Linked DNA regions of Mytilus edulis. The protein of the gene in region 2 purifies or fractionates together with the protein of the main gene of each other region. This does not show direct contact. Links are inferred from orthologs where the notes say so. Each region holds a gene or a part of one and is shown on either strand. Other genes may lie near its edges. The genes, in order: SWI/SNF-related matrix-associated actin-dependent regulator of chromatin subfamily B member 1-A-like, importin subunit alpha-1-like, CTD small phosphatase-like protein 3 and GTP-binding nuclear protein Ran.

What was found.
Region 1: the proteins of importin subunit alpha-1-like (region 2) and SWI/SNF-related matrix-associated actin-dependent regulator of chromatin subfamily B member 1-A-like purify together in Homo sapiens (affinity purification with mass spectrometry; 3 studies listed by BioGRID and IntAct, with this or other methods). This does not show direct contact. The link is inferred for Mytilus edulis from reciprocal best matches to the Homo sapiens genes KPNA2 and SMARCB1.
Region 3: the proteins of importin subunit alpha-1-like (region 2) and CTD small phosphatase-like protein 3 purify together in Homo sapiens (affinity purification with mass spectrometry; 4 studies listed by BioGRID and IntAct, with this or other methods). This does not show direct contact. The link is inferred for Mytilus edulis from reciprocal best matches to the Homo sapiens genes KPNA2 and CTDSPL2.
Region 4: the proteins of importin subunit alpha-1-like (region 2) and GTP-binding nuclear protein Ran purify together in Homo sapiens (affinity purification with mass spectrometry; 3 studies listed by BioGRID and IntAct, with this or other methods). This does not show direct contact. The link is inferred for Mytilus edulis from reciprocal best matches to the Homo sapiens genes KPNA2 and RAN.

What each region holds. Positions count from the first base shown.
Region 1 is NC_092349.1:8,148,371-8,155,430, reverse strand, and holds the start of SWI/SNF-related matrix-associated actin-dependent regulator of chromatin subfamily B member 1-A-like, read right to left. Parts: upstream 3,012-7,060; 5' UTR 2,977-3,011; coding exon 2,881-2,976; intron 1-2,880.
Region 2 is NC_092353.1:13,692,807-13,700,153, forward strand, and holds the start of importin subunit alpha-1-like, read right to left. Parts: upstream 3,002-7,347; 5' UTR 2,990-3,001; intron 1-2,989. Other genes in the region: uncharacterized protein, read left to right, coding at 6,458-6,649, 7,090-7,249.
Region 3 is NC_092354.1:12,255,966-12,262,797, forward strand, and holds the start of CTD small phosphatase-like protein 3, read right to left. Parts: upstream 3,006-6,832; 5' UTR 2,902-3,005; intron 1-2,901. UniProt on the Homo sapiens protein: Probable phosphatase.
Region 4 is NC_092349.1:64,093,774-64,101,259, forward strand, and holds the start of GTP-binding nuclear protein Ran, read right to left. Parts: upstream 3,028-7,486; 5' UTR 2,949-3,027; intron 2,857-2,948; exon of another isoform or gene 2,550-2,856; intron 2,046-2,549; exon of another isoform or gene 1,713-2,045; intron 1-1,712. Other genes in the region: syntaxin-like, read left to right, coding at 3,162-3,194, 5,298-5,378, 6,490-6,589. UniProt on the Homo sapiens protein: GTPase involved in nucleocytoplasmic transport, participating both to the import and the export from the nucleus of proteins and RNAs. Switches between a cytoplasmic GDP- and a nuclear GTP-bound state by nucleotide exchange and GTP hydrolysis.

The DNA.
Region 1 (7,060 bases), on a different chromosome or scaffold from region 2:
CAAGTCACATGTTACAAGTTACAAAACATCAATATACAAAAAGACAATTTACCAATAACATGAATAAAGAATTTTGAAATCTACAGGTTACAAATTGACAATTAATGAAGAATGTTGAATTTTGATACAAAGATACAAGTTACAAATCGACAATTTACGAATGAAGCATTATGAAATTGCACAGTTACAAGTAACAAACTGACAATTTACCGATTAAGAATGTTGAAACTACAAAGGTGCAAGTTACAAATTGACAATTTACGAATTAAGCATTATGAATTTCACAGTAACAAGTTACAAATTAACAATTTACGAATTAACAATTTAGAAATTACACAGTTACAACGGTTACGAATTGACAAGTTACGAATTAAGAATTTTGACCCCGTTGGCTTTCCATAATAAGGTGTATGTATGTATGTACTGGTAAATGCCTCCGATATCCGAAGAACCCCTCGATTCTTCGGATATCGGAGGCATTTACCAGTACATACATACATACACCTTATTGCTATTTGTCCGCCATAGACATATTTACACTTGTATGCAAAATGAATTTGTCCACCATTACGTAAAATCACACAGGTTCCAATAAACTTTGACATCATAATTTAAAATATTTGACGTCACAATTTGAAATAAAGTAATTGTTGCTTGATGTCAAAAGGTGATTCTGAGTCGATCTAAGGTCATTCGGAGGCAAGATACAGCTAAATACCAAAAGTTTAAATACGTTTATTTCTCGACTTCACACTAGTTCCCATAAAGTTTAGATGTCATTATAGGAAATATCTGATGCCACAATGAAAAAAATGGTTGTTTGTATGATGTCAAAAGTTCAACATGTTCAAGCGGGACTCACTCTATTGTCAAGTTGGAAAAGCAATAAGGTGTATTCCATCAGACTAACAGGGTGTCGGAATATCCGGGCAACCCCCATAAAAGCAGACCCAAGAACTAGAAAAAAAAACATCCACTTTCATATAGGCATATTCATACATCAAAATACTTGTACAGATGTTCATAATTTCAGTTCATGACAATACCACAGTGGAACGATCTCCCTCTGGTACTGGTTCAGGCACAATCCATTGAAAGCATCAGGGAACAGCTCACTTTAGCTGTTCTCTGTTTTGTTTATTTACAGCATTAATATAATCTCAGCAACTCAGCAAGAGAAATTATGATATGAGGCATGTTCTACATGTTTACAGTCAGGGAACTTACTTAAATAAATGATTTTCTAAATCACTGATTCAAGTAACATTATTTCCATAAAGATTGGAAGTTAGAGTTGTCTTTCTTTAATAATCACCTATTTAAGTAGTACAAATTAATCACTAGAAGAAGTGATTTAATTTTATTGTAGCTTTAAATATAGAATACTAATGATCCAGGGACTAATTATGTTTCTAAACTTATCAGAACCAACATCTGTGTTGTCTAGGATGACCAGGTCATTTCAGGTGATGACCTTGTCCTGAATCTAGGATAATGACATAAAAATCACTTGTTTAAGTATCAGACCTCAATTTCCTTCCCAAAAATCACTTCTTTAAGTATCATTCTTTTAATAACCCCCACTAATTTAAACATCCCCAAACAGTGAAATTTTTATTGCGAACAGTAGAATTTTATTACATAATCTGAAAGATGAAACCTTGAACTTCACAGGAAAAATACTCCCACTGCTGGGAAAAATCTTTTAAGAAAGTATCAGTTCATTATGTAAAGCCATTATTATAGCATTTTTTCAACTAAAATAGAATTTTCAGCTAAATGATAGCATCAAAGGCATAAACCTTGCTACTTAAAAGAAGCAAAAAGTTCATTTTTTTTAAATTTTACTAATTAAAAGATATTATTTAAACCTATGTGTTTCAAATTTTGAAAAAACTACATAATCCCAATTTGTGACAAAACCTCGAATTTGCTACTCAAATAAGTGATTTAAAAATCACTTATTTCAGTAAGTCCCCTGACTGGTTTACATGTGAGGGTACAGTGGCATCCATGTACACTCCCTATCGGGATTAATGGAGATGTGTCACTAACGTATAATTTATACGACAATTATTTTTACAAGGACAACTCAATCCCCATCCAACACCGAGGGAGTGCTAGGACACCAGGAAGTCTGTTATTATGGTGGAAGAAGCCGAAGTACTCGGAGAGAACCACCGGGCCACTCGGTGGAAACAGACAAACCAGAGAGATATCAGAAGATTGATCTCGAAGTCAAGCAGGGAACAACTTTGACCAACCGAGGCCCCCAAAGTACCCATTTTAGTTTAAACTCCGGTCTGGGTACCAGTGATGTGTGTGAGAGGGTGAAAATTACCCTTCTGACGTACTGATATTTTTAGCGCCCCGAGTGAGAATCGAACTATGGACCTTCAGCACTGTAGCCATCGGTCTTAACCACTAGACCACGAACTCATTGTATTGCAACATGATTTTTGTACATCATAACTAATCTTATGTGTAGTTTACATTCCATTCTGCTAGTGATGGTAAATTCCATGTTGTGAGCATGTTTGTAACACTACTCATGTTGGTTTTGCAGACATACTGAGCAGCTTGTTGTTGGACCATCTCAATTTTGCATACGGATTGGTTGTGTGTCAGAGGGTCACAAACAGAACAAGAATATTCAAATTTGGGTCTAACGGGTGCTAACCCTGACAAAATGCCTACCCTTAAACGAACTCTAACCATAAATGAAATTTAGATAAGGAAGGCCACAAATTTAGTAACACTAACAGTTACAGAAATAAATTATGCCATGGGTACTCTACGATTCTCGATAGAAAAACGATTTTTTTACACTAAATCTGAAATTTTCTCGACTGAGATCTTTAACAACATGTAATTTCATACTTCTGATCCGACATAATAATATTCTTCGCCTTCCTCTATCTGAAACTTTTGAGGTTTTTCACCAAATGTCTTTGTCCCAAACATATTTGACGCCATGGCAAAGGGAGACCACTCAGTTTAGATTTTTTAGTCGGGTACACGACAACTCGTACTTTCGGCAACTCGTACCCTATTTTTACCAACTCTTACCCATGCTTTATTTGATATTATTTATCATGTTTATATGCATAGTTATTGTAACTTTCTTTCGTATATATCATTATATAGCAACATATAAATAAACTTTTCATTGTTAATAAAATGCAATTATAATTGTTTTAAATAAGCTTATCAAATGCTAATCGTTATAATCATTAGTATTCCTTAGAATTGATTGTTTGAAATTGTTTAGACGGCAATTCATTTGATATGCACATTAAAATAATTATGAGTACACAATATACTAATCAGTGCTCATTAGTGGATAACATACCTACAAAAATAGAATGGATTTGTTAAAAGTAGAATAAACATAGAGAAGTAAATGAAAACAAAAATTCGGTATGAGTGCGGCACTATGAACATCAAAGGCCATTGAGTTATACTTAAACAATCACCATCCTCACCGAAAAGAAAATGCATGGCTTAAACGTTGTAAAAATCAAGCTTTGAGAAAAAATATATAAACTATGGTGAAATGTATGATCATCTTCAATTGCAATCATGGTTCGTCCACGTTGTAATGTTCAAGAAGACGGTTACGATTCGACAAGATGCTCTTCAATGTGACACATGTGACAACTGGCAGCATCGTCTTTGTGAAACTGGTAAGTTGATTTATGTTTTATTCTTCTGTAGAAATTAAGCCCACTACCTCAAACATTGTTTAACCATCGTAATTGTGCCGTTTATTTGCAAATTAACAAGGGCCCTTTCCTAAATGTTATCATATCTTTTATCTTTTTAAAATTGAAGCATAATTGTCATTTTATATATATCCTTTTAAAAATGTCGTCAAATTTAAACAGAAAAAGTATAATCATTCTCCTCTCGTATTTCGTATTATCATGTATAATGTTGTATTCCACATGTTCCATGAATACTTTTGATATATATAAATTGTGTATCTCAAGAATATTTTTTCCCTAATCCTGTTTTGAAATCCAGATTCTTTTATCCTCTGGAAGACGTAATAGATAATTTTCCAGACCAAACTGAGATTTAAATAACTTATAATATTCGCCACGAGACGAGTTATCAATATTACTGGACCACTTTTGAAGAAACTGATCTTGAAGAATCTGTTTTATAACGGGTTTGAAAGTTGAATAATCAATGTATTGGTTGAAAAAACATATAACCTAATCCTGAGTTGTCAAATATAGATTTTACAAATGACACCCATTTAAATTCACAAATACCATCAGCATGTAATTTGAAAATAAGCTTATACATAGAACTACTAAGTTTGTTTTCATTTTTAGCCATTCTACTCCAAAACGATAACATTCTTAATTTTACTTTAATTTCTAGTGGAAACCTTCCTAATTCTCCATATACCATGACATTTGGAGTACTTGATCTCACATTTAAAATTCTCTTGCAAAATTGTAGATGAACTTTTTCAATTATATCAATGTTTTCAAATCCCCATATTTCTGATCCATACAATAAAATAGGTTCGACAAGATAATCAAACAATTTAAGTTGTAAATGTAAATTTCTAATCTTTGTATAAACAGCAAAAAGTGCTTTTTGCGACTGTTCTACAAGCTTTTTCTTTGCACAAACAAATGACCCATTATAATTAAGCAAAAGACCAAGATATGTATAGCTATCTACAATTTCAAGAGATGTACCATCAAGTTTAAAATCAAAATCCATTTTCGATTTTCTCTTGCTAAAAACCATCACTTTAGTTTTACAAATATTCACACTAATGCTTTTTATCGTTCTTTTTCAAAGATTTTCAGAAAATTGTGTCAAAATGTTTTGTTTTCTTCTCAATTTTCCTATTGTGACGTCATGAAAAAAGGCGACCTTGCCTGATGACGTCGCATATAAAGAGCACAATTTTCTGAAAATCTTTGAAAAAGAACGATAAAAAGCATTAGTGTGAATATTTGTATCGATAGTAATATCCCCAGGTTTCATATCGTCTTTCATTTCATCCACAGCCGGGTTAAACATTTTTTCTGGATCCAAGATTCCCTCAGACAGCAGTGGTGTAAGCACGATAAAAATCAGTTGAAAACGACCAAAATCATCAAATTGATATAGGCCAAATAAACATTTAATAATTATAATATAAATCAAATGATTTGATAAAAATTACACAATAAAAACATACAGTACCAATTAGTCCGTTTCCTGGTGTAATTTAGTGGTATAGCGTTACCGCAAACATTTCTTTTGTTCTTTGCTTTTGGGGGGGGGGGGGGGGGGGGTAACGGCATTTAGTTCTTGTATTTGCATTAGAAGAAGAATGTGTTACTAATCTGTGTGTGCTTCTTTTTTTTGCATTTGTTGGTGATGCATTTCATTCATCAAATATGCAAAACACTTTAATCAAATTTGGAATTATTTATCTTTGAAAAATATCACAAATTGTCAGCAAAAATTCAGTAGTTTTCATAACTAAATAGTTTTATCAAAAAGTTCACTTTTAAATTTACACAATGTTTAAAGAAAATACAACAAAGTGTCAAAACTGAACCACTCCATAGCACACTGCGTTCCAGTATTGGTCTAAATTTCTCGTTCCATTATTATATTCCTCTTTCAATCTCATCATCCGTGCTTCTAGATTTCGCCATTTTCTTTTTCTTTTCGGCGCTGGATCGCCCTATACCCTATCGACAGCCTCCACGGAGTTCTCCAAAGTTGCTTGTTGGTCTTTATGAAAGTCCACAAAGAAGGGTGTCTAACCGAAACAGTGTTATTAATATCAAGTAAAAATATGTGATACATAATTAAATACGTCTTTGTGTTTGACATGACTGTTTTACACTTGTCATTTTGTAGCCCTTGAAAGTTTACTTTGCTGTGTGAGTCAAGGCTTAAATTGCTTAAATTTACTACCTAATTAGGTTTTAGATAGAGTTGTCCCGTTTGCAACCATATCACATATTCTTATGTTTATATAGACGTATTGGTGGCACTTATGTTCATATTTTTTAAGATTTTCTTAAACATAAAACCAAATTCGTAATATGGAACGGAGAAGCAAACGCTACAGCTATACATACTTGTACTGACGTGATTTTATACATAATAAATCAAATCATTTAACACCTTCGGTAGCCGGAAAAGGGGGGGGGGTAAAATGGTCTCCACTATTTTAGAAAAAGAATGTTTAATAATTAAAGAATAAACGAAAAATTGTGTATTAAATAAAATTACGAAATTTTTAACCTTATACTAAAGCCCCCCGAACCCCTTCATATCAGTTTAACTGTATAAGTGCATTTATATATATACCAAGCGAAAATTTAAATCTAAATCGTTTTAAGTAAAAAATATTCTGAATGTGAAGTTTATTAAATTGAGACCTTTTTCTCGTCAGATTAACTTTTGAAATAAACAGATAACACTTACTTTCAACGCTGTTGTTTGTTCTGTTGTTCATATCTCTTTCATAAACATTTCACATCTGGGGAGGGAACAACCCGTTCAAATAGTTCCTTTCGAAGTAGTCAAGAAAGTCCCTTAGTCCATTATACCGCCTGCAGAGTCTCTGAGTTCTACGGGATGTTCTCAACAAACGAAATTTCTGGCGCACAACAGCAATTGATAGGTATCCAATGGCCATAACTTTACGGACTAGGCTTTTTACTGCTGGTCGTCGTCGGTAACTTGCCGCAAGACCTAAGTTCTGGACTTTTCGCCACAAACTCTGATTGAAGTGAAAATAGCAACCACTAATTTGAGCGCGTGGAAGCTCAGTTAATTTCTACTGCTGATATCAATGCGAGCTCAAAATCACAGATGACTTTTCTTGGGCGCCATCTGTGCCGTGTGATTTGTCGAATTTTGACTTTCAGTGTTTCTAAAATATGTCTATAGTCACCAATACTGCGATCAGTCATTAGACAGTTTACAAAACACATCACCCTATTACGGTACCGGCCGTGAATGGTAAAATATTGTGAATATGGCCTTGGACAAGTTCTGAAGGTCCCGTCGCAATATATCTCTTTAC
Region 2 (7,347 bases):
CCGACCTTACATTGATTACGTGCTACGTGTACAATGTTTCGAGTTCTTTCGGAATTATATTCCAGGTAACTCTCTTCAGAGGTCGTCCTTTTTATTTTCTAAATGTTTGTTTGTTTATTATTTTGTACATTTTATTTATTATTGTACCTTTTATTTATTATTGTTCGTTTTATCAGCGTATGGATAACTGGTTTTGGTTATTAGATTTAGTTTAAGATATGTTTCAATATGCATTTTTCATTGTCAACGCACCTTCCTTTGGTTTTAGTGTAACTGTCTAATTAATTTCTATTGGGAGACATTGATTTATTTCAAGTGTTTCTTAACGATTTCCCCAATGTTCCTGTTTCTTTTGAATGCTATTGTAGGTTTTTTATCAAAGAGATTTTTGAACTGTGGGTTGTCTTGAATTAAATGCCAATGTTTTCTTATAATGGTTTGTAAATTTTCCGCATTAGCGTGGTATTGTGTTATGAAAGATATATTATAGTTATCTGTGTTTTTGTTTATGCTTGTTTCTTGGTTTGTTAATTTGTTTAATCTTTCTGTATGGGAAATATTTCTTAATATTTTATTTACAAAAGCGATTTTGTAACCTCTTTGTATTAATTTTTCTGTAAATAAGTTTATTCTTTCATTAAAATTGTCAGGATCAGAGGTATTTCTAAGAATTCGTGTTCCTTCACCTTTAATAAAGGATTTAAAACAACTTTTAGCGTGGTTAGAATTTTGGTGTATATATTGGAATTTTTCAGTTGGTTTTGTGAAACATTTAATATCTAAGATATTTTCTTTTTGAAATCTCTGTCCTTTATACGTTTCTAAGTCTAGAAATTTCAAACTTTGTCTGTCAATTTCATAAGTAAATTGCAGTAGGTTGTGGTTTGTGTTTGCTATTTCGAAAAGAAGTTTAACTTCTTCCGTAGTACCTTGAAATAAAATATATCCATCATCTTTCATACGTTTATGAAATAATATTTTGTTTTTGTGTGGAAAGATGTTTAGAATTTTATTTATATGTTGGTATATAGCTATATCTGAGATTTGAGGACTTGCTACATGGCCTTGGCTAGCTCCTATAATTTGCCTATAACATTTTTTGTTAAAGGTAAATTCGTTATTAAGGAGAATTAAGTTTGCATAAATTATAGGTATATTGATCCAATATCCACCCATTTATAGTATGGATCACATTTCCGACCTTTCGTCTACTCGAAAAATCAAAGATAGAAACTGATACTTTACTGGTGACTTATGATATCACATCCCTTTACACAAATCTAAGATTTAGCGAAATTATTGCCGCTCTAAACAGTGTTACAGGGATATATGAAAACCTAGAATATAACATAATAAAACCCAGTTTTGACTATTTACTACAAATAACAAACTTAATTCTCCTTAATAACGAATTTACCTTTAACAAAAAATGTTATAGGCAAATTATAGGAGCTAGCCAAGGCCATATAGCAAGTCCTCAAATCTCAGATATAGCTATATACCAACATATAAATAAAATTCTAAACATCTTTCCACACAAAAACAAAATATTATTTCATAAACGTATGAAAGATGATGGATATATTTTATTTCAAGGTACTACGGAAGAAGTTAAACTTCTTTTCGAAATAGCAAACACAAACCACAACCTACTGCAATTTACTTATGAAATTGACAGACAAAGTTTGAAATTTCTAGACTTAGAAACGTATAAAGGACAGAGATTTCAAAAAGAAAATATCTTAGATATTAAATGTTTCACAAAACCAACTGAAAAATTCCAATATATACACCAAAATTCTAACCACGCTAAAAGTTGTTTTAAATCCTTTATTAAAGGTGAAGGAATACGAATTCTTAGAAATACCTCTGATCCTGACAATTTTAATGAAAGAATAAACTTATTTACAGAAAAATTAATACAAAGAGGTTACAAAATCGCTTTTGTAAATAAAATATTAAGAAATATTTCCCATACAGAAAGATTAAACAAATTAACAAACCAAGAAACAAGCATAAACAAAAACACAGATAACTATAATATATCTTTCATAACACAATACCACGCTAATGCGGAAAATTTACAAACCATTATAAGAAAACATTGGCATTTAATTCAAGACAACCCACAGTTCAAAAATCTCTTTGATAAAAAACCTACAATAGCATTCAAAAGAAACAGGAACATTGGGGAAATCGTTAAGAAACACTTGAAATAAATCAATGTCTCCCAATAGAAATTAATTAGACAGTTACACTAAAACCAAAGGAAGGTGCGTTGACAATGAAAAATGCATATTGAAACGTATCTTAAACTAAATCTAATAACCAAAACCAGTTATCCATACGCTGATAAAACGAACAAAAATAAATAAAAGGTACAATAATAAATAAAATGTACAAAATAATAAATAAACAAACATTTAGAAAATAAAAATAAAACGGACGACCTCTGAAGAGAGTTACCTGGAATATAATTCCGAAAGAACTCGAAACATTGTACACGTAGCACGTAATCAATGTAAGGTCGGAAATGTGATCCATACTATAAACGGGTGGATATTGGATCAATATACCTATAATTTGTTTTGTTCAATGAAAAGACAGGCATTTGTTCTGTCAAGGGGAGGGGGAGTGGTACTATACACACTTGTACGAACACAAATAATGCATGTAGGAATGGCCATGTTTTCTTTTTTTTTATGTTGCCGTAGTGGGGGGAAAGGGGGGGGGGGGTGTAGTTATATAGAAATTGACTTTCTGTCCTACATAATGTAGGACAGAAAGTCGCAGGACAAAAAGTTCAAACACTTTATAGATTTTGATGAACATTTTCTTGCCACCGAAGATGGTGAAGTAAACAAACACTTGAGTTTTCTTTGATACAGTCCACTCATTTACACTATTTAAATCACCTTTGTTGTGAGTAGATTTCTATTGTCCATTTCAATTAATATGATACAATACAATCATTACCTGAGGTTACTATCTCAAAGATTTCACATGACTTTGTTTATTTTTACACTACATGTACCTGTGGAAAGAAATGAAATTTTTTAGCCATGTTAGCAAAATCCACAAAAGTTTATTTCATTTTAAAATAGAAAATGAATACAACTTCTATGTATCTAGGTGCTGCCAGGCTTTAAATCCTTGTCCGCTGTATGCCCTTTTGCACTTACATCTAAAAATTGGTTTGCCTTAACCAAATGTTATGAAAATAATACACATGGTTTACTACCACAAACACGGATAAAGATTCAATTTTAGTGGCGTCACTTAAGGTTCTTGGCTGCATTTTCACCCCAAATTTACTCCGAGTACAGACAGACCTGTGACCTGGAACAGTTTTAAGGCATAGCATGCCCTAGATAAATATAATTCAAATGCATTGTATGATTTAGAAAATCCATAATTTAAATGGAATTTGCAGTGCACTTTGTTTCGTCCCTGCAGAAGATGATAAAATTAACAAACAGTTGAGTTTTCCTTGATATGGTCCACTCAGGTACACAGTTTAAATGACCAATTATTGTTAGGTATCTACTGTCCATGTCAATCAATACAGCTCACTTCAATTATTACCTGTTGGGAAGTTCTCAAACCTCTTTCCCAACTTAGTTTATTTTGGCACCTTCTCGAGGAATGAAAAAAAGTGCACTGCAAAATCCAGTTAAGTTTTTATTTTTCTAAACCATAATACATATTTGAAATTTATTTATCTAGGGCATGCTATGCCTTAAAACTTTTACAGATGCACAGGTTTGTCTGTACTCAGAATAAAATTTTGAAGTGAAAATTAAAAATAATTTATTTCTGTTCTACAACTTTTATAATTTGCCTTAATTAAATGCTAACATGAGGCAGGCATTACCTGTAAAGGGGATGAAGTCTGTATGAATTATTTTTTTAATTCAAACATGTTAAAAAAAAAAGAAATGGAAGTACAGTGACGTTTCCGATTTTGGTTTTGTTATTAGGGATTTTAGTTGTGAAGTTGTTTAAGTTATGACGTCATATTCAATGTAAACAATGAAACGCTAGGGTAACCTTTTTTCATAACAAACAATTTTTAAAAGTGAATTACAATGTAGTATTGAATTCCTTTCTATATATATTTTACTAGACTGATTAATATATATTTTATTCAAAGTCTCAGGCAAACAAGACGGGAAAAGGGAGTAGATTTCTGTGCAGATGCGGGGATTTAAAAAACTGAAAAAAAATTAACGATTTTGAGTTCATTAGTAAAATGAAAAATTCGGGAAATTTTCCTGATTTTTATTTTTTGATTTTTTTACTGTAACATGTGTAATACATTTAATGTAATAGGTGACATCGTCCCCATATTAAACTTATAGATACGATACTTGTTACCTCATATTACAGATCAAGTTTGCATTTTGGTGATGTAAACCTTCCTAGAGTTATGCCCCTTAACAAATGTAAAAAATGCTGATTTTTTCGATTCCATTCTCTAGCATTAATAAGCCTAAACTAAATGTGATGAAACTTTAACACAATTGCTTATAACCACAAAATACAGATCAAGTTTGAATATTCAGGGTTTTTACTCTTATTGTTCTAGAGTTATGTTCCTTTACAAAATTATAAAAAAATGCTGAATTTTTCGTTTCCATTCTCTAACTTAAGTTTGCCTTAACCAAATTTTATGAAGTTTACACATCATACTTGTTACCACAAAACTCAGATCAAGCACACATTTGGGGAGTGTCACTTTTACAGTCTATCAGTTATGTCCCTTTATAACTTAATATGATATACAAGAGGGATCATGTGTGCCCCATGAGCACATTCCCCATGTATTTTAACATATTTTAAAGATATATATACATTGTATGTCTGAGAAAGGTTCTGATTTAAATAGTACTGGCTAAGAATGAAATCCAAATTTCTTAGTACAGTTGCCAAAATCGGCAGGAATTCAGCCAAATTTAACATCAGGAAACATAGAGGGCAGCTGTCGACAACATAAATATTCAAGTTAGACATGTAATAGTCATTACAAACATTATTGTCAAAGATCTTTTTTTACAAATGTATGGGCTATATGCATGATATGTTTCCTGTCCAAATATTCAACAGCAATTTACCCATTTTCATTGTTTTTGTGTGGAAAATCAAAATGAGTACTATCATTTGACTATTTTTGACGTCATTAATAATACGCAGTAATGTAAATCTGTGACTACAGTCAAGGGTCTAATTAAATAAGTTATCAGAGAAAAATAATATGCCTACATGTGTACATTTTGTACATGTATGTCATTGTATGTTATTACAGAAACTTTCATGAGTTGTCTACTCGTTTTTCCTTAATCTGTAAACTAAGCTTAGTTATTACAAGCATGTAACTTACTATATGAGAGTAAATGAGACACTTGGAATCTTAAACAGTGCCTCATTACAAGCTCTGATCATCATTTCTTACAATGAATTGAAAAACATTGTTATGCATGTCAGAGCAAAGCCTTTAAAGAGATATAGAGAAGCTGTAATAACACCCCTTGGTTATTGCAGGAATATATTTTCAGTAATAACATAGGTGTACTATGCATGATTGGTAAACTATGAGCTGTTATATCTTTGCAAAGATTAGTATACATGAAGAAAATTATAATATCAATAGAACTTAAGAAAAAATTAACAAAATATTAAGGTTGTATACATTGTATTTTCCCTTTGAAACATGTAACATACATATGTTATCACAGGTTTTTGATAATTTAGCCCACAATACATGTAACAACATGTATGTTATTCTCTCTAATAACTTATCTAAGTTAGACCCTTGACTGGACTAAAAGAAGTATTTTCTATCTAGTAAAATTGAGAATGGAAATGGGGAATGTGTCAAAGAGACAACAACCCGACCATAGAACAGACAACAGCAGAAGGTCACCAACAGGTCTTCAATGCAGCGAGAAATTCCTGCACCCAGAGGTGTCCTTCCGCTGGCCTCTAAACAAATATATACATATATATACTAATTCAGTGATAATGAACACCATACTCCAAATTGTACACAAGAAACTAAAATACAGTCACTGTATTATCTATTAATCATTGTAATATTGGTAAATAAATCCCAATTTGATATTTAGACTTAAAAAGGGGGCCATTTAAAGGCCTTATCGACCTACTCCTTTGCTCAGGTAATTTAAAACAAACAATTAGCATTATTATTTATGAGACAAAGTAGTTATTTTCAGTTTGTCTGCATTTAAATTTCAATAATCTTGATAATCTAACTGGATTATAGTAATATAGTGAGAAAGTAGAGAAGCACTAAACATGACTAAAAGGAAAAAATATTTCAGGAATAAATACTCCACAATTGAAAATAAGAGAACATACATGTATATAGTACAAGTCCGCCTCAAACATGGAGAAGAATGCATGTCTAGTATTTGTTTATTTCTGTAATCCATTTTAGTTTATAAACTGCTTAACAAAGATGCCAAAAAGGAAACTTGGAGAAGAAGTTGAACCTGATTCAGCTTCAAAGAGTAAATCAAAGAAAACAACTCCCAAAAGCAGTAAAGAAAAGCCATTAAACAAACAAGAATCTTCATCTAAAAAGAAGAACTATCCCAAAAATATTGATGAAGCTACAAATGTAGAAAAGGTAATTATCAGTACATGTCTCTTCTTATCTATTTTTATGTGCAATATTTTTCCCATCTGAAACTTTTTTGATATTTATTCTCTCATTGAAGTAGAGTGAGAATGTGATGACAGTCATTATAGGCCTTACATCGTTGGGTAAAGATATATAAAATCAAAATTTAAAAAAAGAACTACTGTGCATTTATTATAACTCGCTAGATACAAATTTTCCTGGGTACAGGCGAACCATGAATTTAAATGTTTAACGTATTATAAACTTTGTTTTGGCTTGTAATGCAGAGATTGGCAAATTGACATTTCAGTTTGTTCATGTTGTTTGTAATACTTTTTTTATTAGCTGATAAATTTCTTTACCCCCATTTTTTTTTGCTGATGTCTACTCTCACACACCTAAATGTAAATATAGTAAATAAATCTTCAACAATGAATGTTTTTCAGAGCTTTGAATTCACTGCAAAGTTACCAACTCGTAACAAAAAGGGGGAGCTAGTGTTTGAAGATGTTCCAGAACTACGACCAAATATGACGCCCAAAGAAGTTCTTCAAGCTGGAAGTTTTGGTGGCACATATTTCAGACCAATAAAGTCATCAGCTACAGGTTATTTTAACATGTTTAATGCACTTATTAAATATTTTAGCACACTTAAGTCTTTTGATGATCATCATTTCAAAGACATCACTGTAATTTAACTGTAC
Region 3 (6,832 bases), on a different chromosome or scaffold from region 2:
ACTATGGTTATTTCTGTTTTCCCTTATTACCAATTACATAATCTATGCCTTTACAACAGAATATCTTGAAACTTACCAAACATTTTAACACTTAACCTGTGAACATTAAATTTGGACATACTAAGTCACATACACTATAGAAGGGTGTGTTGGCATGACAAAAATTGATTGGCTGATAAGATTTGACCCGAACCAAACAAACTGTTAAATTCTCAGTACAATATAGATCCTTATCTTTCGATGCATAGACACTTTTTTTCATCTTTATGATTTACCAAATATTAATTCATGGGCACTTTGATCATTGGAATTAACAAAAGAACAATTTTTAAATGAGTTGTACATTGTAAGTGTACACTGCAGTGATGTCACTAAGTTTTGAAGAAGCAGGCTGAATTTCTAAAATAGGCGGCAAGTACATGCGGACGGCGAAGCGGTTCGCATCGACGAGCTTGCTCGTCGCTACTACGGCGGGGGGTCTGGGGCCTGCTCAAGGGCCCCAGGATTTTTTTTTAAAATGGTGCAAAATCCTGCATTCTGGGGGTGTCCTAGACCCTTATTCAGACCTCTGAAAACATCATTTTTTACTGAAGATAATGTAAATGATTAACTAAAATTAGCAACATGATGGGAAAATTTTCTGTACATGTGATCACATCATTGATCATCTTGATGGACCAATATACATTTTTGTGCATTTTCCTGCAGGTTGACTGCTAGTAAATATTTTTGAACTGAAAGAATCCAAAAATCTTAGTTTGAATAGAAACATATTGTCTCTGGTTTGAATTGTCACTTGAATAATTTAGTTTTAAATGAAAATTGTAATTGTGACATTGAGAACATTGTTTTAATTTTATATTAAAAAAGTGTTGGTTTTGTTTTTACAAAATTAAAAAACAATATTCACTGACTAGTAGTCAGCTGGAGCTTCGATTTCAAAGTTAAAACTGTTACAGAGGTGCTATATTTTATAAAATCGTATGCTATCCCAAGGACGTATAACTAACATAATATACGTCCTTGGCTATCCCCAAAAAGATTTGAAAATTTAGACTAAAATTCCTGCATTCTGATCATACATTTTGTACCTGAGAGTGATTTAGATGCTTGGGAAAATGTTAATTTTGTCTTATTTTTGTTGTTGACTTCAATCACATTGATTTTTTTTTTAAATGAGAATCCGTAGTCCTGGCAAGGCTAATCTATATTATATTTTTTTCTGGGAAGGTGTCTTTTGTAAGACAACTAAGGAAGTCTGTTCTTGAATATATGTAAATAATACACAGGCAAGTGCCTGTGAAATAATAGATTATAATTTTATTTCAAAAATAATCGAATTTATTAAATATCTTGATCGATTTATTTGCGTACGTACTTAGTGACAAATGACCCCCTTTTTTCTCATATAAGACTTGTACACGTATTTCAAACATGTTGTCAAGCTATGATATATATGATATATTAATTTCCATAACATGCTATTGTCATCTTTGGCTTATTCCTTCTCTTGAAGCAAAAACCAAACAGGGTCATAATGTCCATCTCTCTTTTTATCCTTGCAAACATTACAATACTTACCGACTTTAAATAGACGACCAATCAGCGGACTGCATTTACGTGAACTATATTTAAAGGTAAACACTGATTTACATCCTTGTTTATCGCGACTTTAATCGTGGAAGCTGATGCATTGAACAATTATTTTTTAATATTAACCTGATTATCTTTTTTATCTTATTAATTTTTTTTACTCATGCAAAAATAGCCGGCGGGAAAAGGACAATAACCGGCGAAAATCGCCGGCTGCCAGCTTCTAACGACATCACTGCACTGTTGAGTAATTATAGAGGTGGCAATACCTCATGTTAACCTGTTTTAGCCTTTTTAAAGGTGCTGTTAACTGATATCCAAGATAACTTTAAACTGTTTTCAACCAAATGTGTTAACTGTAATCAGCATTTTTTTCTTTTGTTGTCGACTGTTTTTGCCAAAATCGAGGTGTTGTTATAATGTTAACATGTTAATGAACCCCCTATTGCCCCCATGTAAAATAGCCAATACTTTCTTAGGTCTTCAATCAGAGCTAAAACATTTGCATATTGACAATAATTCTTTACTGATGTAAAAACAGTTCCTCTACTCTAGCATCTAACAGGAAATATTGATAAACCTCATAAGACATTAAAATGTAGGTCAATTTTCATAATTGTATCTCAAGTCATAATTGGAAAACATTGTATACTGTTGTAAAATATTTCATGTTAAATGATAACACTGACCCAATTCTTAGAGCTCAGCTGACAAACTTTATTTGGGAAGAAAAATGTGAAAGATGTCTTGTTTACCCAAAACAAACCAAGTTGAACATAGCCCTGATCTAAGACAATATAAATATTATACACACATGGCATTGTCAGTTTATTTTGTATTTTTTAAATTCTTCAAAATTTTAACATCCGAAGTTGTAAACATTTCATCACAAGAGAACACAAAATGTCAACATTACAACACATGAGAGAAATTGGGTCAAACCAGATGACGTCATCTCGTGGACGATCAATACAAATTTTCAAAGCTGAGAAACTGCGGTTCCCCCGACATAATTTCTTCACCGACACTAACCTTTACATATAATCAGGCACATATGTACTGTGTATTAAATCATTCTCAAACACTTTAGTTGAAAATTAAAATCTACAAATGATTTAAAAGAACTCAAACATCAACTTTAATAATATTTCGGCCAAGGTCCCCAAACATGGCTTCTTGCCAAAAAGTGCAAAACTGATTCATATAATGAGATTGAAAGATGTCTGACAATTATATAATTTATAAAACGATAGTATTATTGTTATATAATGCAAATAATCATTGATCTAAGGCAGTCAATTATCTTACCATTTGATTTATTTTGTATTTTCCTTCGACATCATTTCGCGCGTAGGCCAAACGTCCCGGATGAGTAACCTGATTGCGCATGCGTTCTGTATCGTAAATATAAACAACAGCACGTGGTTTCGCTATTTAGACAGGTAATATTGAAAAGTGGGGCGCTGACTGACCTAAAAAAAAGGGGGGCCGCTCCAGTCATGCTTCAATGATTCCCTATATAATCAACCAAGGGGGGGGGGGGCGGGCCCCCAGGGCGACCCCTGGATCCGCCCATGAAGACGAAAGAGACATATTTATATTAATATTATCATCGACTCGATAATTCTAAGAACATGTTATTATATGATGCATATTTATGTAATAAAGAACTTCACAATAATAAAGTGAATACATGGTTTTCAAGTATAGACTATTTTAAAAAAGCTGGGCATACAAACATGTAATTTAAAAACCAGTATCTACTCTTTCACAAAATTTATCAAAGATAAGCTATATAAAAACTTACTATTTCCATTTCTGGAAGTAAAATAGAAATAAAGTTTTACAATCAGATCAAGGTAAACTTACTACCTATTTTTCCTTTAAAACTCTATTTTGTTTTGAAAAATATTTAGTTCTAAAAGATTTTAGATTAAGACAATCAATCTCTAAAATTAGAATAAGCGCTCATCCATTAAGCTGGGCCGGGTCACACATTCACGATTTTTACTGCCGTCCTTGACAGGACCATTCCCGATTAAAATTTGTCAAAAGTCTGATCAAGATCCTGTGAATCGTGGATGGAAATTCGATTTGTATCTTTCGCCAGGTAAAATTCGACCGAGTCTGTCACGACTGCGTCCCGATTCTACCGAATGTAATCCGACAGAGATCAGAAAGTGACAAGACAGTGAACCGACGCTGACGGAAGTTATCCGTTCGAAAACTGTCGGCATAATCGGGATGATCAGGTACTGTCGGAACGTAATCCTATCACGGTCCGCTCTATCGTATTGCAAACGGCTTTGTCTGGTCTCAGTCGTATTGTATTCTGTTATTGTCGGGACTTCTCCAGATCATTCCCGTTCCACAGGACACCGTCCCGAATACACTGAACATTGTTAGGAATTCGATCCGATACAGCAGAATCTGTCACGACATAGGCACGATTGTAATCCGACTAGACAAAATCGGCTGAGTTTCCCCGAATGTTACGGGACGCACCTAACTGTTGGGGTGCTTTGCCGAACTATTCGGACCCTTCCCGACCAGTAGGAATCTGTTACGAACTAAAACGACTGCGTTCAGACAATAATAGGACATTCCAGATAATTGAGGATACTAATCCGACTTTTTTACTTGTATCGCTGTCTGATCTCAAACGGGAGCAATAATCGACAATGTGTGAACCCCGCATTAAGGATTGAGACTGATAGATATGCCAAACTTTATGTGAATAGGACACTGAGAAAATGTTTATACTGTACTTTAAATAAAGTTGAAGATGAGATACACTTTGTAACTGAATGTCCACTATAAAATTGATAACAGAAATGAGTTTTTTACTGAAATTTCTCTAAATTGGAATAATTTTCAATCTTTAGACAATTTTTTCAAAGTTTTTATGGCTATTTACACAAGAAAATTTAAATGTGTATAAATGTTTAGGAAAGTATTTATCTAAAAATATAGAGATAAGGAGAAGTTCAAAAATAATAAATGCAAATGAGCCACAAATATACATATTTTGAGTGGTATATGATTTTAAATGGTATATTTTAAAGATGTAAATTGTATTATCTGGTTCTGTCCTAGCCTTTTATAGCATTTTTAATAGTATTAAACAATGTTGTTTTCTCATATTATATGTCTCTAATTTATGTCTAATCTTACGTACTTGAATGTAATGTCATGAAAGCTCTTTATAGGGACCTTTAATTGGAAATAAAATATTCTCATTCTTATTTTTATATGAGGGTCGTAATTCATGCAGAATCACGGTAAACATTCTTTCCAAATGACGTTAACGGTACTTTTTCAGTGGCGGATCCAAGGGGTTGGGGTGGGGTTGAAATCCCCCCCTTTTTTTGACGATCAATGCATTTGAATGGGGACATATACTTGGACTCCCCTTTTTTGTCCTCGGTTGGGACCCCCTTTTAAACTGGCTGGATCCGCCCGTTTTTAGTGCATGACGATAAAATGTACACTTTGAAAGTGTACATTTTATCGTCATGCACTAAAAACGCATTGAAGTTTCTTAAAGACGGGCGTAAAAAGATCAACTGATTTGAGGAATCACGTTAATTTGTTTCCAAATATAAAGTTAACGATGATTATTCAGGTCGGATCCAGCCATTTTGAAAAGGGGGGGTTCCAACTATATGTCCCCATTCAAATGCATTGATCGACCAAAAAAGGAAGGTTCCAACCCCGCCCCCCCCCCCTCCTTCTGGATCCGCCAATGATTATTTGAGACCTCTGATAAATCACAAGAAGGAGATTTTGACGAATGTCACGAATCACGATAAAATTTAAACCAATTTGACACTAACAGTAGCCGAACATGGCCGTTTAGCGTCTGACGGTATAAAGGGCATTACTACCCACATATAAACATGCATGTTTTTATCTGGTCATGATGGGAGAGATCCGTTTGCGCCAAAAATGCGTCCTTTTTCGTCACAACTTTTTTCTCTCCAATGCTACGTTTGCGCTACATGTTTTAAAATTACATGGTATCATTTCCGCCAAAAATAAAACATATGATTGTGCCAATTAGAAGAAAAATGACTTCCCTCCTCCTTTATTTGGGAATTGGAACCGGCTGTTTAAACCGGCAAATGTTTACTTTTCTGAAACATATCTTCTTCTTACTGCTGCTGCATGGGTATGTATCCTATTTAATTTATGTAGTAGCTTTATTGTAAATTCACTTTATTGTCCAAAAACACAAACATTGAAGGATGAAATGCATAAAACAGTTCGTAATAACTCCTAATAATATGAATGCCCATACGCGTCCATACGGAACAAAGCACTGTGTCATCAACATATGTTGCTAAAAGATCATTAGCTTGAAAAGCTTCTATTTTCTTCTCTATTGCCACATCTTTATCAAATATTCAGCAATGCAATAAATTTTATTCTCTTTCTGTACATTGACTGTCTACTGCATTTTAAGTCATTTCTCTACAGATGCTCATCTTCATAGTGAAATATCTCCGAACATATGATTCTTTTTAAGTCAAAAATAAGAATAAATATATATTAATCATTAATATTTATGATAGATATCTGTGCAGGTAAATTTTCGCAAATGAGTTTCGAATATTGGTGCAATTGATACATTTGAAAAACAAAATTTGGCGCAAATGATACCCTTGAAAAACAGTAATTGGCGCAAAAGGACTGCTGCCGTCATGATATATGTCTGAGTATTTTTTGCTGATTTTTAATTAAATAATATCGTTTAAAACGACTTTAATATCATCAATCTATGCATATGGTAATAATATTATAATAATTCAATTCAATATTTTATTATATAGGATATATGATAGTCTTTACAGATCATAACAAATTTTTGTTTTTTTTGTGTTTTTTTTTCACAACTGTAATCAACAAAATCAATGCTAATCATATGTATTTTATTTGTAATTGTAATTTGTATTAATTATGCTGCTCTTTATGGGCGTCTTGATTGACAAATAAAACTATTCTTATTCTTATTCTAATAAATAATGTATCATTGGTCTCGCATCTAAGACTGCCACATTATTTAAACTTTATAAATAGTACCTTGGTTTCAAATGATAGCTACAAGGTAGACAAAAACGGATGCCAAAGGAACATTCAAACTCAGAGTAGAAAATAAACTGACAACTGTCAACGTATTTTTGATCCACATAACAGAAGTTCAAATAGAAACTTTGTTATATAAAACAATGTCATAATA
Region 4 (7,486 bases), on a different chromosome or scaffold from region 2:
AAAAATAAAAATTACTCTGTGTTTGTGTTTTATGTTAGAATTAGAGGGTTTTCAATTTCAAAATATTGGACATGGAATAGACATCATGACCTACTTTACTGACATCCAGCTTATTTGGAGTGGAATTTTGAAGTATTATTTATAAGTGGAGCCTAATAACATGGACTTATATTTTAATAAAAAGTCTTCTTTTGTGTTTTAATCATAACTTTAAGGCAGATTTTTATTGGTAAAGGCTAAAAAAGGTAATTTAATAATATTGTTGCTAACGTCACGTCTTTTCCGTCCATTGTGGTATGTCACGATCGCAATTTTCTTGTTAGTTCTCAGACAGCCCATTGTAGTTATTTTTATCCCGGGTTTTATAAATAATTGAAAATAGCAATCATATTAAATTTGGATGACGTAAGGGGGTCAAAGGACTTGAGGAATCAATATCATTGGCTGTTTTATTTTTTGCGAACGTTACTGTTCGAGGTTTCCGTCCAAATCAGTGTCACGTGAGCAACATATATTTATATCTGTAACTCTCCTGTATAGGAGTTACGATATCGCCCTTTGCAGAAATAGATTCGGAGTCAGTTCCTTCACATGATGGGGAAGCAAAGAAGGTAAGTTGTATGTAATATCTTTACAAGAGGACCTTAAATGTATTCCGTCCATCAAAAAGACGTTCGCAACAAAACATAATGTCTTGATAGTAGATGTTGCTAATGTTACTATTACGAATTGGTTTCTTGTGTATTCATTTGATATAAAGTACACCTGCAAATGACATTCTGTATATTTAGAAATTCTAAACCAGACTGTACAATTTTATTACTCCAGGCATATTTTAAACATCACTGTGTGCATACATTTTAACTTTTAAAGATGTTGTTGCTCATGTGACATGTCCAAATGTTGCTAACGTTACTAATTTTTTGGTTTCTTGTGTATTCATTTGATATAAAGTACACCTGCAAATGACATTCTGTATATTTAGAAATTCTAAACCAGACTGTACAATTTTATTACTCCAGGCATATATTAAACATCACTGTGTGCATACATTTAGGAGATAACTGTATTGTATTTTAAGCTCCGACGGCATCAATTGGGGATTTGATGGTCGCAAATTAAGTTTACTGGCGACGCGTTAGCGGAGACAGTAAACGGGTATTTGCGACCATCAAATCCCAAATTGATGCCGTCGGAGCTTAAAATACAATATTGTTATCTCCATTCTAATGAAACTGACAGAAAACAACGTTAAAACATGTATTTAAAATCTGTCATATGTCGTCTGCGCTTGCGCGTACGTCCCATAGCATCAATTGTCAATTGATGCCATGTAAGAAAGTGACGTTATCCAATGAAAATGAACGTTACAAACGTTGTTGCATTAGAATTTAACTTTTAAAGATGTTGTTGCTCATGTGACATGTCCAAATGTCGCTAACGTTACTCATTTTTGTCTCCGTCACATTAGCAACATGAAAGTAGGAGACAGAACACAATACTGTAAAATCTGCCTCATGTGCTTTTAAATACTCTGGCCTGCTTTTAATAAAAAAATCTTAGACCTAAAATTTACACCAAGTCATGAATAATGCAGTTTACTTAGATTAACACAGGCCTGCATAACAATATTTAATCCAGAGATGGTAGTAGCACATTAGTTTGATAAACTTGGATGACTATCAATATAACAGTTTTAAGAATTCACTTACTTTAACAAAGTCAGTTTTCACCACAACTTTTATGAACACCTAAGATGACCAGCAAGTTATTTTACTATCTATATTGTTGCATGTATATGTATACTGTACATGTATGTATGTATGTGCGTTGTGCAATATTTCTTTGAAAGTCAGTTAGAACCAGTTCTTTCCAAGATATAATTTTAAAATAGATATGATTTAATCGGATATGAGTCTGAGTTGTTTATATTAAAAAAATACATCATTATAGAAAACTATTTTCTATTCTAAGACTCTAAATCTGTATATCACTGTCTAGATCAATCAAGCTGTAAACACTAAACTGAAAGGAGATTCTGTCATCTCGAATCTAGAGGACCTTGACATTCAACATATTTAAGTGCTGATGAACTGTGTGGCATTACAATTTAATCATTACGATCTGTAGGTTCCCAGCATTAATCAACAATGACAATACAAGCTCTATCAATACATAGTACATATTACATCTAAGTTTCTTGTTTGTTTGCGCTTAACAATGTTTGAGGGGGCCTGTTTGAGGTGACATTTCTTAATATAAAATTATACAAGTGTCTCTAAAACAATAACAAAAAAAATATTGAAAGCTGGTCATTAACGGTTTGCTTACAACTCTATGGAATAAATCCAGTGTGTAATTGTAAGTTTATTCTATGTATTTACATATATTCTGAAATTACACCACCATAAAATTCCGCCAAATAAATGAATTTGACGCATCCTTATTTATTTATTCTAGAAGTGACTGCGGAAGTCTGATCGCCTATTAACTTCAGGTTGTCATACGCAATTAGTTTTGTATGATGAATATTAAGTTTCAATACTAACAGGAATTGTATATCTCTTTCCAGTCAACTTTACGTTTACAAGTTCAAGAATGACAAAGACGATCAGGTATATTGTTTGTGGTAACGAGTTGAAATGGAATTAATAAAAAATGAAGTGATAAAACATTAAAACATGCTGTTTTCTATACAAATAATTCATCAAAGGTGTAATTGAAATGATTTCTTTCATAGGATGACAGACGATTTTACCTGCTATGTCCCTCTTCAGTCAAGAAATGGCGCAAGAGATTTACCGGAAGGGGGGTTTAAACTGGTTTTGGCGGGTATTTGCCGTCACTTTAGATTATATAAACTACCAAAAATAGAGCTTATGCGATGGAAGATTTCTGTCCTTTGAAATATCTTTGAAAATTTAAATTCAACAACAAATATTATTTACCCGCTAAAAAAAATTCATTAAGTGCGACACAGCCGGAAGAAGGAAACCCCGCATGAACTTGCGCACTTGCTAGTGTTATGATGGTAGACGATATTAAAATTGTATCGATTTTCTTATGTATCATCGGAATTTGGAAGTAACATGTAACAATACATACAAAGACTACAGTGATCTTAATGAGTTGATGAAAATAGTATACACTTAAGTTGAAAAATGACCAAAGATCGTCTTGCGGCTTTAAAAGCGGTAAGAATTTAGCCGGCCAAGTTGGGACTGAGTCTGAGTTAACACTGATTTCTTACACCCCTCCCCCTTTAGTTGTTATTGCTTTAAATGCTTAACAGACATTGACCATGCATGTAAATTAAACCAGTATTAATTGTAAAATTTGGCAATAATGGACAAAGAAAAATGGGGAATCCGACACTGTGACAGACATGCATGTAAAGTACTGCAATATATATTATATATTTACCAGCATGTTTATTGTTCCAGCATTATTGTATATGGCCTTCTTTTGCGTTAGCAGTGGCGGATCCAGGGGTTGGAACCCCCCTTTTTTTGGCCGATCAATGCATTTGAATGGGGACATATAGTTGGAATAGTTGGAACCCCCCCCCCCCCTCTGTTGTCCTGGGTTGGGAACACCCCCTTTTTAAAATGGCTGGATCCGCCACTGCTTAGGGGTGTGAATCCTAATAGGTCTATTCTTAAATTTTTTTTTAACCTAACCAGAATGTAAAAAAAAACTTAGCTTCCTGTAAACTGAACACGAAATTTATGTTGCACACTGCCTATAAAACTAATAGACTAAAAGTAGGCCTATTAATATAATCACCAGAGTGCCTGAGTCAAATTATTTACACTTTACTACAGATTTCGACTCATAATCTGGAAGAAGACACCCTTATCTGTATTGACTGGTGGAAAACATTCTGATCATAACTCTGCATTAGTTTAATACTGCATTGTTCAACTGCTCTTTTTTATATCGCTCCATTATTATTGTACATAATGTATCTGAATTTTCCTGTATAGAGCTTGCAACTTACTACAGGAAGCTGAACTTTTTCACCAACTTGTCTACTCATATTTTCCAATTTTGATAAAATCATGTTGAAAAGGGTTGAGTTGGAAGGAGTAAATTTAAAAGGATTTAATCCATATATTAGTTTAGTGAGGCATGCTGGTAAACATAAGGGCTGATAGTTTTAGAAAGTGGGGTGAAGTAGTAAACAAAAATGGGGCGATTTGGCCATGTTGGCAGTGGGGCAAGTTGTCTTGATTCCATCTAGGAGTTTTTGCCTTCTTGGTGGTAATGTAAGAAGTGTTTAATATTGTAGGTAAATACAAATACTAATTTGGCACAGATTACTTTAAATACAAATGTATCCATACATACAAATATTAAATTAAAATTATTCTACTGACAAACATGATAAATGACTGACAAACTTATATTTCCTGCACATACTAGTACTGTTAATACATTGTTAGTTGAATAAATTGAGATGTGTGGTACATGTAACTAAATCAGCACTAAATACAGTCTTCACGCTGAGTGGCAACCCAGGCTTGTAAAATTGCTCTTGGGCCTGTAGAAATCATATTTACCGGCCAACAGAATCTAACTAAAAATTTTCAAAAAATAAGCTAGGGGCCTGTAGATTTTACAGTTCATCGTGAAGACTGTAAACACAAATATATAAAAACTTATTGATGGCATTTTAGGATCTACAACAATAGACAGTTTTCTGTACAATACAATACAATGTAGTACATGTACATGCATGTACAAATATATGTCAAGCTTTAATTGCCTGAGTAGAAATACATTTTATTTCATATGTTTGTTAAAAAAATACAAATATATGTGTTAAGGGTTTCCTTTACTGATTTTAATTTTGTGTTGGCACTCAATATTAGGGTCAGTAAACATAGTTACTAAAGGAAACCCTCAACACATATATATATATTCATGCCTGGGGAGAATGCTGATTAATGGATAAATGTTGATGTACCAAATTGATACGAAAATATATTGTACATGCAGATTAGCCACATGAATTGTTTCTTTGATTCACATTAGAAATTAATTTGTTTACGCAGTCTGGGTCCTGAGCCACAAGTCTAATGCCCCAGACTAGTAAAGTTTTATTCAGACTAGTAAGCTTTTATGACACACAAGAAAAATGTTGGATATTGGTTTTCGAACTAGAAGTCGTCGGTAAATGGAAAGATTTAAGTGCAGACTGATGCTGATCACTATATATAATATAAATACAAATGTACACTCAAACCATACCAAATTATATGAAAATGTTAATGTAGTTGTTTGTCTTATTTTAGGCACAGAGTGATGATGATGACGCAGACGATGTGGCTGTCAATGTTGACACTGGAGGTTTCATGGACATGTTCTTTGAACAGGTATAAACTTTCATTTATTTATGTAAAAATATTTCTTTTTGGCATTTATTGCTCAGACTAGTATGATTTTATTGCAACATAAACAGTAAGCATGTTGAGGTGGCCACACTGGTGCAGTGTATCCCAAACTCCATCTGACCGACAAAATGTCAGACAAAAAATCATTCGGTCACACAGAACTTTTAAGATTTTTTGGTTGAATATACATGTATATAGAAGAAAAATTGAATTTCTCTTTTGGTCAGACAAACCCTAAAACAGTTTTGCACAGACTGTTGGTGTATTTAGAAAAACAAACCTCAAAAATTTCAACATTTTTATAAACATAATGTAAAATTACCAAGTGCTGAACCTGCTCCTTAAACACTTTGAAATGGCATGATTCACAATGGCGTTAACTGTATCAGAAACTGAAAGCTGCAAAAAAGTATGATCAATATACACATCTAACATTGTTGGCTTGATGTTTAGACGAGTTGTATATACATAATGTACACAGCCATGTATCACCATCACTGCTGGTGATCCGATGGATAAATCTGTTGTAGAGTTGTCACTGGTTCAGACGTACATATACAAAAATGTATATACAACATCTTAAAAATTTCAAAACACTTTTATATTGAAATCATTTATTGATGCTTTATATGGGTTACTGCCCCTAATGAAAATACCAATTTATGAATGTATTTGCTTAAATTAACTTCTTCCAGCAGTTTTTTGTTAATGGTAATATCAATATGGTATATATAAAAAAAAAGAGACTTCTTTAAGCCTGCAGATAACATATTGCTGTTGTAATTTCTCAATTTTAAAATATATTGAGTTTTCATAGGATACTGGTTCTGTCAAAACTAGAATAAATGTTTTTAGTCCTGTAAAATAAGAAAATTTATGGGACCAAATTTAAAAGTTAAACAACATTTGAGACAGAGAATTAAATGTCCTTTGAAATTTTGTTCCTACAAGTTACTGTTGATATTTTACTGGATTGGTAACACCAAAGAATTGAAGGGATAATTCACAGTATGTCTATTTTGTTTAATATTTTAGCTCAAGTTTTTTGTTTTTTTTGTTTTGTTTTTATTAAATTTTATATTAAAATTTGTAGGTGGAGGAGATCCGGGGGATGATAGATAAAATATCAGCTAATGTGGAAGATGTGAAGAAAAAACATAGTATGATTTTAATGGCACCACAAAATGATGATAGTAAGTTATTAAACACTTTTTTTACAAATATACAAACTTAATTACAAAGTGTGTAGCAATTATTTCCCTGAATTAGTATACATTTGTACATTTTACATGATTGTTTGAGGATCAGCTGAAGCCCAGCTCCATGTGTGAGATTTTTATGCTGTGTTGAAGACCCATTGGTGGCCTTCGGCAGTTTTATGCTCTTTGGTTGGGTTGTTGTCTGGTTTACACATTTCCTGTTTCCATTTTGAATTCTAATTGTGGGCTCTACTATCTTTCGAAAAATGTTATTTCATATATAATTTGATAAATGTGTATAAAGCAAAGAAATATGAGCAAGAAATTGTGGTAAAGATCTAATGGTGATGAAAGTGTTTGATATTGATGCCATTTGATAGCGCATGATTTCTTATACCTAAGTCCATGACAGTAAGAAGGCATCATGTTTTCTGGTCTGTGTGTGTCTGTTAGTTCTTCCAATATCATTGTAAATGATCATCAGTGTATATACCAAATAAAACTGCTATTGTGTATACTTCAATGAAATTTGTTAAGATAACTGATAATGGTGGTTTACCATCTTGATTTGTGACATAATTAAAAGCTTGCATGTCTCGAAATCTCAATTCAATAACTTGATGAGGGGAAAACCTCAGAATGTTGTGGTGTAAATTGTAAAACCTAAAATATTCTGGAGCTTGGTCATATTTGATGGTAAATTCCCCAAATATTCAGGAGCTTGGTCATATTTGATGGTAAATTCCCCAAATATTCAGGAGCTTGGTCATATTTGATGGTGAATTCCCCAAATATTCAGGAGCTTGGTCATATTGGTGGGGAAAGCCCTCAATATTTAGGAGCTTGGTCATATTGGTGGGGAAAGCCCTCAATATTTAGGAGCTTGGTCAT